3 linked regions of the Mus musculus genome follow. The protein of the gene in region 3 purifies or fractionates together with the protein of the main gene of each other region. This does not show direct contact. Links are inferred from orthologs where the notes say so. Each region holds a gene or a part of one and is shown on either strand. Other genes may lie near its edges.

Region 1 (3,651 bases), on a different chromosome or scaffold from region 3:
ACCTGAACCTCCTGAGAGCTGGGATTAAAGGCGTGAGCCACCCACTGGCTTTGTGTGTGTGTGTTTGTTCGCTTTTGTCTTTTTAGCTTTAATTTTTAGTTTATGTGTACGGTTGTTTTGCGTGCTTGTATGTCTGTACGCCTGAAACTAGAGATATAGATTGTTATGAACCATGTGGGTGCTGGAAACCAAACCTGGGCCCTGTACAAGAGCAGTAATTGCTTTAAATACTGAGCCATCTCTCTAGCCAATGCTTCTTGGTGTTTTGTTTGTTTGTCTGTTTGTTGTGAGACCAAATCTTAGAGCCAAAGTCATCTAGAACATCTCCCTTTACCTCCTCAGTGCTTGGATTGCTTAGGAGAGCCACCATGCCCAGCGCCCAGTTCCCAGTGTTTGCTCTTTGTTAGTTTTTCAAGATAGGGTTTTTCTATGTAACAGCCCTGGCTGTCCTGGAACTCACAGAGATCCATGTGCCTCTGTTCTCCAAGATCTGGATAAAGATGTGTACCACCGTCAAGACAGGATCTCACTATGTAATTTCAGCCAACCTGGAATTCACCATGTAGACCAGACTGGCTTCAAACTCAGAGATCTGCCCACCTCTGCCTCCTGAGTGCTGGGATTAAAGGCATAGGCCACCACCACCACCTGGCTCTAATTGTCTTTTAAATGTGTGTCTTTTTGTGTGCATGGGCGAGCATGCACAGGGACAAGAGGATAACCTCAAGTTCATCCTTAGGAACGTTGCCCACTTTCTTTAAGATAGGGTCTCTCATTAGCCTGGTACTCCCCAATTAAGCTAGGTAACATGGCCAGAGAGACTTGGAGATCCTCTGTACCTTTGAAACACTGCAGTGGCCAGCACCAACATTGTTTGTTTGTTTAATTTTATGTGTGTGAGTGCCCACATTTATGTATGTATGTGTGTCACATGAATGCCTGGTGTCTGCAGAGGTCAGAAGAGAACACCTACAGATTCTCTTGAACTAGAGTTATAGGTAGTTTTCAGTCATAATGTAGGTGCTGGGAACTGATCCCAGGTTCTCTGCCAGAGCAACAATTATTCTCCCCCCAACCTTTTTAAAATTTTTTTCTTTTCTCTCTTTTTTTTAAATTAGATATTTTCTTTATTTACATTTCAAATATTAGCCCCTTTCCTAGTTTCTCCTCCGAAAATCCCCTGTCCCCTCCCCACTCCCCATGCTCCCCAACCCGCCCACTCCCGCTTCCCTGCCCTGGCATTCCTCTACACTGGGGCATAGAACCTTCACAGACCAAGGGCCTCTCCTCCCATTGATGACCGACTAGGCCATCCTCTGCTACATATGCAGCTAGAGCCATGAGTCTCTCCTTTCTTTGATTGGTGGTTTAGTTCCAGGGAGCTCTGGGGGTACTGGTTAGTTCATATTTATGTTCCTCCTAGCAACAATTGCTCTTAACTGCTGAGCCATCTCTTCAGCTCCGTGCCCAGCATTTTTATATAGGTTCTAGGTTATATATATTTTTTTTTTTTTTTTTTTATTATATGTAAGTACACTGTAGCTGTCTTCAGACACACCAGAAGAGGGCGTCAGATCTTGTTACGGATGGTTGTGAGCCACCATGTGGTTGCTGGGATTTGAACTGCAGACCTTCGGAAGAGCAGTCGGGTGCTCTTACTCACTGAGCCATCTCACCAGCCCCCCCAGTTCAATTTTATGTTCTGTTTTATCATGCATACATACATACATACTTACATACATACTTACATACATAAACACATACTTACATGCATACTTACATACATACATACATACATACTTACATACATACATACATACTTACATACTTACACACATACATACATACTTACATACTTACACACATACATACATACATACATACATACATACACACACACATACTTACATACATACTTAAGACAAGATCTCACATAGATGTACCAGCTTCTCCCCCTGAGTGCTGTGATTAGAGGATTGCTCTCTCACGCCTGACCTTCTTTTTCTTACTCTGTGTGTGTGTGTGTGTGTGTGTGTGTGTGTGTGTGTGTGTGTGTGTGTGTGTATTCAGGATTGGGATCCTATGCTTTCCTTCCAGGTTGGGTCCCAGAGATGTAGCTCCGGTCACCAGGCTTGTGTGGCAAGCACTTTCTGCCAAGTCATCCCTCTGGGTCATGTTCATATGTTTTGATAATTAAATGTAAAACAAAGGCAAGCATGGTATAACACATCTGCACTCTCAACACTTTAGGAATCAAAGATCAGGAAATCAAAGTCATTTTCAGTTTCCTTGGAAGTTTAGAGCCAGCCTAAGCTATGTGAAGTTTAGGGCCAGCCTAAGCTATGTGAAGTTGTATCTTAGAACAAAAGTTAAAACAGTATAGTAGTAGGAAATGTTTCCACAAATGTATATAATACTCTATAAAGGCTATTATGCAGCCTTTAAAGTGACAGAATACAGTTAGTTTATAGGGAAATTTAAGTGAGAAAGGGAAGTTAGCATCTACAGCTAGAGCTCCCCAGAAGGTAGAGACAGGAGCCTAGGACTTCTAAGCTCTTCTGGGAGACATAGTGTGACCTCTCTTTCAGGGAGCAAAACAAAACAAATACAAATGTAATATAGTTGTAATTACATTTGAAGAAGTGGTTGGTTATAGCTTACCCTGATGCACAGGTCTCACTTTAGACTTAAGGGAATCCTGCCTCAGTTTCCCATAGTCACCAATGTTAGATTGTCTTCATACGTTTTGGGAAACTTTTTGTGCTCTGTTTTATTTCTTGGTTGACTGGTTTGCTTTTGGTTTTTGAGATGGTCTCACTCTGCTGTTCATACTGAGTCGGACACAAGACCCTCCTGAGTACTGGGATCCCAGGCTTACATCACCACGCCTGGCTTTCGAGTTTTTGTTCCTGTTTTATTGTTGATAGTTTCATGGGTCCAAGAGCCTGTCTGTGCTCGCCAAGTACTCTACCACTGAGCCACCTCTAGCCCTCCTTTACATTTTTATTATGGTACAAGCTCCTGCTACACTGACCAGGCCGGCCTTAGGCTGCACTTCGCTCCCGGCAGTCCATCTCCGTCTCCATCTCACACTGAATCTTTTCTGGCAGCTACGACACGTGGATCCCAGCGAGTGAAATTGAAGCATCTGTGGAGGACGCTCCCACTCCTGAGAAACCGAGGAAGGTGAGCTCTCCTGGTCCCCTCCACCCCACTCAGGACCAGCCTTCTCTGTCAGAGGAGCTGGGACTCTGTAAGAGTTTCTAGACAGAGCCGTGGCTTCTGATAACTCTGACACGGACTGCCCTGTGTGTGCTTCAGGTCCATGCGAAGTGGATCCTCGACACCGACACATTCAACGAGTGGATGAATGAGGAAGACTACGAAGTCAGTGACGACAAAAGCCCAGTCTCCCGCAGGAAGAAGATCTCAGCCAAGACGCTGACAGACGAGGTGAGCTCTGCTCCTCCCTGTCAGAGCTCTTAGCTTACACCTGAGGCAAGCCTTGCTGGGAACTGGAGGGTAAACTGCTGCTCATCCCACGTCCTGTTGTGCAGGTAAACAGCCCAGATTCAGACAGACGAGACAAGAAGGGGGGCAACTATAAGAAGAGGAAGCGCTCTCCCTCTCCTTCACCCACCCCAGAGGCTA
Region 2 (3,651 bases), on a different chromosome or scaffold from region 3:
AGGCAGTCCCAAGGACAGGCGGGGTACAGCCCTCGCTCCCCTTGCCTCCCATTCCCTAAATCCAGATTCTGAGATGCCCTCTCCCCGCCATCTTCCAGAAAATATGTGGTGAGTGTCACCTGATCGCCCACAGTCCGCACAGGAGATGAGGTCCTCGGGACACCCAGTCTTCTTGGAGCCCCCCAGGCAAAAGTCACAGTAGCCATTGGGGATGACAGTGCCATCTGGTGCTTTCTTGGCTGAAAGACAGCAGGCAGCGGTGGGCACAGGACAGGTGAGGCGTGCCAGTCAAAGACTGCTGCAGAAGTCGGGGAGGAGGGAGGTGCCCCTACCTGTGTGTTTCCTCTGTGCCTCGGGGACCCAGGCCAATTCTTTGTAAAACTCTGGGGGTGGGGGGACAGAAAGGGGCTCTTACCATAGGCAAGGTCCCATCTGTCCCCAGCCTCAGCCCCAGGGGCGGGACCCTTGGCCCAGGCACTGGGAAGTAGCAAGGAAGCTGGGGGAGGGGCAAGCCATTCTCACCAGAACCCTAACTCTTGGGGTAACCATACGTTCTATTTGGGTAAAAGTCTGAGAGATAGGTATAACCTTAGCAAGAGCCCATGGCTGCCCCCATCATGTAGGGGGCACCCCCTTAGGCACCCCTAAGTAAGTTTGCCTAGGCCAACGATTAGCAGACAGTTCTGCAAAGCCTAATCAGGGCATTTTTACAGCACAGAGGGCTCTGGGCCAGGCCTGAGGTTTTTGGAGAGGCTCTCTTTGAGGGACAGGTGAGAGATAGTCCACTTCCTCCGTGGCTCAGCTGTCATCATGGCATGGAACAGCCATGGGTGGGTGTCAAGGACCCTGGGGGCCACCGACCTTGCCCTGGATCCTAACATAGTAGAGAAGGAGACGAGGGAGGTCTGGGGTGGGGGTGGGGAAGTCATCTACCACCCCCCTCAGAGCTCTAATTGAAACAATAAATCAGACCCAGAAATATTATGCCCGGGCAGGGAATGAGGGAGAGAGAGAGAGAGAGAGAGAGAGAGAGAGAGAGAGAGAGAGAGAATGAGGGAGGGGGAGGGAGAGGGAGAGAGAGAGAGAGAGAGAGAGAGAGAGAGAGAGAGAGAGAGAGAGAGAGTTGGTTGTCATGACAACCCCAGAGCCAGCATCCCTATGGTTGGTGGAGGAGGGAACCGTTAAGCTGAAGATTTTCCAGAAATGTCTAAATGTGCCCCCACCTCCCCGTCCGCAGACATTTCCAGGCTCCATTGCTCCCGCCCCACCCCTGGCACCTCACCCACCAGCCTTGACCCTCCAACTCACGTTTATGGTTGTTTTTCCGGTGGAAAGGCAGGGCGTGGCGTTCAGTGTGCTCCTCCCCCTCCTCCTCAGCCAGGTGGGTGTGGGTGTAATGGTAGCTGAGTCCTGGCCGGTTCTTATATCTCTTCCCACAGACTGGAGGGGAAGTGAGTGGGTGATTGTCAGACTCCGGGGCCACCTCCTCCACCCTGGCCTCCAGGTTCACACCACCTGCTCTGCTGAGGGCCATAAGGGAGAGGTCACTGCCCCCCCCCCAACCCCCATCTCTCTTTCCCCTCTGCAGAACTCACTATCACAGACGTACGGCTTGTCTCGGTCCTCCAGGGATGCGGTGTCCTGGCGTTTGCGGAGACCTCCAATGCCATATGCCTGTAGGGAGGAGGGTTAGGAGTAAGGAGCTGGAAAGCCAGGGAAAGAAAGGCTCATCATTCTTGGGGTTTTTGAGTTTGTCGTCGTTGTTGCTGTTGTTGCTTGAGACAGGGTCTCATTATGTAGCCCTGCCTGACCTGGAATTCACTCTGTAGATCAGGCTGGCCTTAAACATGCAGTGGCCCTCCTGCTTCTGAATTATGGGATATGTGCTACCATGCCTTAGTGGGCTTCTTCGTTTAGACTTGAAAGTCAAACTGAAGAAAAAAATTAAAGTTTTTCTTTTCAGCACTGGGGGCGTGGCTCAGTGACAGAGCAGGTGTCATGTGAGTGTGAGATTCTGGGTGCCAGAACCACACAACGATAATGAAATCTTCCCCACTAAAACTGGGCACAGTTTCTAGTGGTGAGCCTTTGAATTTCTCTCGGTACACCTATGAAGATAATTCTTCTTGTTGTTGTTTTGAGACAGGGTCTCTCCACACAGTCCTAGCTACCTGCGAACTCACTCTATAGATCAGGCTGGCCTTGAACTCAGAGATCCTCTTGCCTCTGCCTCTCCAGTGCTGGGAGTAAATCTGTGTTCCAACACCTTTTTATTGTTCTTATTAGAGGTTGTGAGTGTGTGTGTGTGTGTGTGTGTGTGTGTGTGTGCATGTATATGTGTGTTTATGTGTACATGTGGAGTGTATATTTGTACACATGTATTTGTATGTGTGTGTACATGTTTGTATGTGTGTGTATTTGTAAGTGTGTGTGTTTATGTGAGTGTGTTTGTATGTGTGTGCATGGTGCGTGTGTGTGTTTGTGTGTGTTGCTGATGTTGTTGTCTGGGTAGCTGGTTTGGTTTAGGATTTTTTTTTTTTAATCTCTTTTTGCACACGATCTCTTTATTTAGTTCAGAATAGCCTGGAATTCACTTGTCTCAAACTTGTAGCAATTCTCCTGCCTCAGCCTCCCAGGTGCTGGGATTACAAGTGTGGGCTACCACACCCAGCTCTGCAAGACAGTTCTGATCCACAAGCTCCATTTTCGAAAAAGTTTATAATCCACTGAGTTTCCATTTCCTCACCCATAAAAATGGGTGCAAAGCCCTCTACTCCTTTACGTGGCTCTGGGGAGGAGGCGGGAGGGAAGCTGCTGGAAGGTACCTTTCCTCTTGCCCTGTTCTTCCTCCTGGGAATGTCTTCCTCCAAGTCTTCTACCTCGAGATCATGCGGAAACTCCAGCAACTGCTGTTTCTGGGCCCAGTAGAAGGGAGATTGGGGGGTCAAGAAGGTGGGGGCACTGATGTGCTGCAGGTAGGGTGGGGGAGCAGGTCAGGGACCCTTCTACAAGCAGAGGTGTTCTGGGAGATCGGGGCCATAGGGTACCCAGAGGCCCTGAGGAGCCGGGCATCTCAGAGCAGGAAGGCATAGTGGTGAGAGCATCTGCAGCCGGGGAGGGGCTCCTTACCTGACAGTCCATGATGGTCTCCTCCTCCTTCAGCTCCACTTTCTTCTCTCCAGTCTCAGCACACAGCAGAGCCTCGAGGACTGGCCCTTCCGGGAGGCCACCCTCCTTCTTCAGAGGTGCCTCACAATCTGGGGACGGGCCACAGGGAAAGTGGTATCAGTTGAAGAGGCTGTGGCCAAAGTGCCCGGGTTGCAGGGGGTGGGGGTGGGGGCATGGTCCTTTCGACAGGGACAGGCTCTCCCACACTGTCCCACACACAGCCAACAATGGACAGAAGGATTCGACTCAAGCCCTGGAAAGAATATCCATACACTGGGAAGGCACAGCCACACCCTCAGCTCTACTAGATAAAGAAGACAGAACCAGACTCCAATACACTGGCAACCCTTAGGAACACTATGGACCCTCATAAATACCTGCATGCATAGTAGAAAGGCAACTAGACCCTCAGATATACCCAAAGAAAGTTAGATAGACATTTGAATAGGATACACACAGACACATAGGCAGGACATGCAGAGA
Region 3 (3,651 bases):
AGGTGTTTTTTTTTGTTGCATTTATTTATTTTGTGTGTGAGGTGGGGAGACATATGTGTACCACATCTTATGGGAGATGGTTCTCTCTTTCCACCAAGTAGGTTCCAGGGATCGAACTCGGATCATCAAGCTTGGTGGCAAGCACCTTCACCCACTCAGCCATCTTGGTTGGCCCATGCATGCACTTGTCCTTTTGACCACTCTAAACCTCTAGTACAACAAGGTGGTATGTGGTAGGTCCGTCGAAGTCAAAAAGGAATAGTGGCTTGCTTGAGTTGCTGATGCCCTCAGACTCAGCCCTGTCTCATCCTGGGAAGACAGAGGCAGTAAGTACCCTCAGTTTCAGGGTTACCATTGCTATGATAAACATCCTGACCAAAAAGCAAGTTGATGAGGAAAGGATTTATCTGGCTTATGTTTCCACAAAATAGTTCATCATCCAAGTCAGGGCAGGAGCCTGGAGGCAGGAGCTGATGCAGAGGCCACAGAGAGGTGCTGCTCGCTGGCTTTCTCCCCATGGCTTTCTCAGCCTGCTTTCTTATAGAACACCAGTACACTGCCCACAGTGGACTCGCCCTCCCCCACCAATCTCAGGCTTTCCTACAGTCAAATCTTATGGGGACACTTTCCCAATTGGAGTTCCCTCCTCTCAAATGACTCTAGCCTGTGTCAAATTGACATAAAAGTACCCAGCACATCCCATTTACCCAAACTGACCATGCTAGATCTCCAACCCCTGGCATCTAATCAAGGAGCCTTGTTTCTTTCTGACTCGGCTTCACAAAAACACAATGGAGTTTTGCTGCTGCTTAATGAGCAGAGAAAGGTCCACGGTCCCACTGAGTGTAGTGGCTCGGGACTGTGTAATTCTAGCTCTCCAGAGATGGAGGCAGAGGGATCAGGAGTTCGAGGACGACCTGGGCTACATGAGACCCGGTCTCAACATAAAAAACCAAAAGCGACAACAAAAAACCAAGGATTGAGGATGTAGTTCCGTTGACAGAGTGCTCACATGCCATGCACAAAGCTCTGGGTCCCATCCCTGGTACTGTGTAAGCTGGATGTGGGGGTCCAGGCCTCTAATCCCAGCAGATGAGAGAAGGGCAGGAGAATCAAGTTTAAGTTCATCCGAGGTGTCCCAGGTTCAAGTCTAGAATCCATGAGTCAGAATTCATTTCTTTTCAGGTGAGATCCAGGATGTGGCCTGGTTCCTGGCTTCCTGAAGCATCCCCTCTGACTTCCCTCCTGGTGTCATCGTATGTTAGTGATGTAACCTCGAGCCTTCTGGTTGGTTTTAACCTGTAGAACAGAGTGGGCTGTGCCTGCTTCATGAAGTCTTTGTGGGGATTAGATGAGATAACCTCTGAAGAGTCTTGGCATGCTCACAGCTACGTTATGAAGTCGTCCTAATGTGCCAAGTATTGGATGACAAAGCCCATTTTACAGATGAAGAGCTAAGGCTAAGAGAAGGGAAGTCATCTTGCCCCATTAGCAGCTGATAGCTTCCCGTGCTTGGGCTGACATGAGGGAGGCTTTGTGGGCAGCATCTAAACCTGCTGCCTGGGCAGATTAGAAAGAGCCACATACCTACCTCTGGTCATTTTCATTTTAGTTCATGAACAACCAAGACCAAGGCAGGGGTGACCAAGCATGAAGGCTCGGGGACAAATGTTGGCCTGGCAAGACCGTTCCAGAAGGCCGGGGAAGGGGCCCAGCGGGAGCTGTAGAGGTCACCTGAGCTGCAGTCTGTAGTCCAGAGATTCAGCCGTGTCAGCTTTGGATCACAGTTCCCAGGCCAGGCCCCAGCATCTGCCTCGTCAGACATTAATGCTCATGACAATTTATTATGTCATTTATTAACAGAATTTTCACCATACATGCATCTGGGTCCTGGCCTGGGGGAAATTTAGACTTTCTTGAATGGGGAGAGTGCGTAATTTTCAAGTCGAGCGTTCACAAGAGAATGCTTTTATGTAACTAGCATTCCGGAGTATAGTCAACCGAGATCAGCTGGGCTGTGTGACTGCCTGGCACTCCCTCCAGGTGGAGGGAAAAGAGATGCTAGGAGTTGAAAGTTGGTCCACATCGGATGGGAAGCCCATGCCCGTAAGCCTAGCACTGGGTAGATAGAGGGCTGATGATCAGAAGTTCAAAGTCATTTTCAGTGCTCTGACGAGCAACATAAAATTGTGCCCTAGGGGGCTGAAGAGATGGCTCAGTGGCTAAGAGCACTGACTGCTCTTCCCAAGGTCCTGATTTCAAATCCCAGCAACCATCTGTGATGAGATCTGTCTCTTCTGGAGTACTTGATGACAGCTACAGTGTACTTATATACAATAAATAAATCTTTTGAAAAAATAAAATAAAATTGTGTCCGAAGAAGAAGAAGAAGAAAAAGAAGAAACAACAGATCTGAGGGATCAGTTCCCCAATCTGTACAAATTTTGGTAACAATACCAGGTAGGTAGGTGCCCATCAGTAAGTTATTGATTAAATGCAGTGTCTGGGCATGGTAGTATGCCTGTAGTTTCCAGCTGTTAGGAAGCCAAAGCCAGAGGATTGCTTGAGGTCATGAGTTTGGGGCTAGCCTGGACCACATGGCAAGCAAGACCTTATTTTCAGAACATAATGGTATAAGTGTTAATGCTCTTTCTCCGTGCACATGGGTTTGCAGGGATGGCCTCTGTCCTCAGTTTTACAAGGTTCCACGGGTAGCGTTGCCTACAAAGACGTGTTATTTATTGTTGGAGACAGTCTCGGTATGAAGTCCTGGCTATCCCGAACCCACTAGGTAGAGCATGGTGATCTCAAATTTGCAGTAATCCTCCAGGCTCTGCCCTTAAACGCTAGGATTATGAGTGTGAGCTGCCGAGTTACCGAGTGATTCTGTCAGATGACCGCTTGGGTGTTCTTGGTCTAGAATGGCCGTCTCGTGCTTCCCCGGCAGAGCAGAGGCGATCCAGGAGGTGGTTTCCAAGGGTGAGGCTCCTCCATTGCACTTGGGGTGTGCCGATTTACATATCACCCCTGTGATTCTCCCAAGTGTGAGAAATTCAACTGTGTAATTTCTGGTCATTGGGGACTGTTCATGCTCTCCCCTATAAAAATAAAAAAATAAAATGACTGTACCCCGGGCCCCAGAGCTGTCTCCAACTTAGTGATTAGCTCCACCACCCCATTCATTTCCTCTCATCTCTTCAGCTGTCTCATTGGAGGATTCGGGCTAGGGAGATGGCACTCGCCTCTCCCCAGCAGTTATAGGATGTCAGCCTATGCTCTGTTCCTGTGCAGATGATAACAGCAACCAGAGCTCCATAGCAGACGCCTCCCCCATCAAGCAAGAGAACAGCAGCAACTCCAGCCCTGCCCCAGAGACCAACCCACCCGTGCCCAGCGATGGCACCGAAGCCAAGGCTGATGAGGCGCAGGCCGATGGAAAAGAGCACCCTGGAGCTGAAGGTACTTGCCACCCAGAGACAGGGCGAGGAGGGGCTGCTGCTCAGCCAGCCTGGAGCCAGACAAGCCGCAGGGGTTTTAAGAAGACTTTGCCATGTGCCAAGTCCAGGCCATGACTATAGAAGAGAAGTAAGACCTGCTTTATAGCCACTAAAAAAGGAGAGAAATCAGACAATTGGGCTGGGTTTGAACCCC

What was found.
Region 1: the proteins of Bcl7a (region 3) and Smarcc2 purify together in Homo sapiens (affinity purification with mass spectrometry; 4 studies listed by BioGRID and IntAct, counting the BioPlex papers as one, with this or other methods). This does not show direct contact. The link is inferred for Mus musculus from reciprocal best matches to the Homo sapiens genes BCL7A and SMARCC2.
Region 2: the proteins of Bcl7a (region 3) and Dpf1 purify together in Homo sapiens (affinity purification with mass spectrometry; 3 studies listed by BioGRID and IntAct, counting the BioPlex papers as one, with this or other methods). This does not show direct contact. The link is inferred for Mus musculus from reciprocal best matches to the Homo sapiens genes BCL7A and DPF1.

What each region holds. Positions count from the first base shown.
Region 1 is NC_000076.6:128,465,685-128,469,335, forward strand, and holds part of Smarcc2 (SWI/SNF complex subunit SMARCC2), read left to right. Parts: intron 1-3,110; coding exon 3,111-3,186; intron 3,187-3,321; coding exon 3,322-3,453; intron 3,454-3,557; coding exon 3,558-3,651. UniProt on the Homo sapiens protein: Involved in transcriptional activation and repression of select genes by chromatin remodeling (alteration of DNA-nucleosome topology).
Region 2 is NC_000073.6:29,310,871-29,314,521, reverse strand, and holds part of Dpf1 (zinc finger protein neuro-d4), read right to left. Parts: intron 3,258-3,651; coding exon 3,130-3,257; intron 2,916-3,129; coding exon 2,826-2,915; intron 1,675-2,825; coding exon 1,596-1,674; intron 1,441-1,595; coding exon 1,309-1,440; intron 384-1,308; coding exon 333-383; intron 240-332; coding exon 120-239; intron 1-119. UniProt on the Homo sapiens protein: May have an important role in developing neurons by participating in regulation of cell survival, possibly as a neurospecific transcription factor. Belongs to the neuron-specific chromatin remodeling complex (nBAF complex).
Region 3 is NC_000071.6:123,357,900-123,361,550, forward strand, and holds part of Bcl7a (B-cell CLL/lymphoma 7 protein family member A), read left to right. Parts: intron 1-2,932; exon of another isoform or gene 2,933-3,102; intron 3,103-3,291; coding exon 3,292-3,459; intron 3,460-3,651.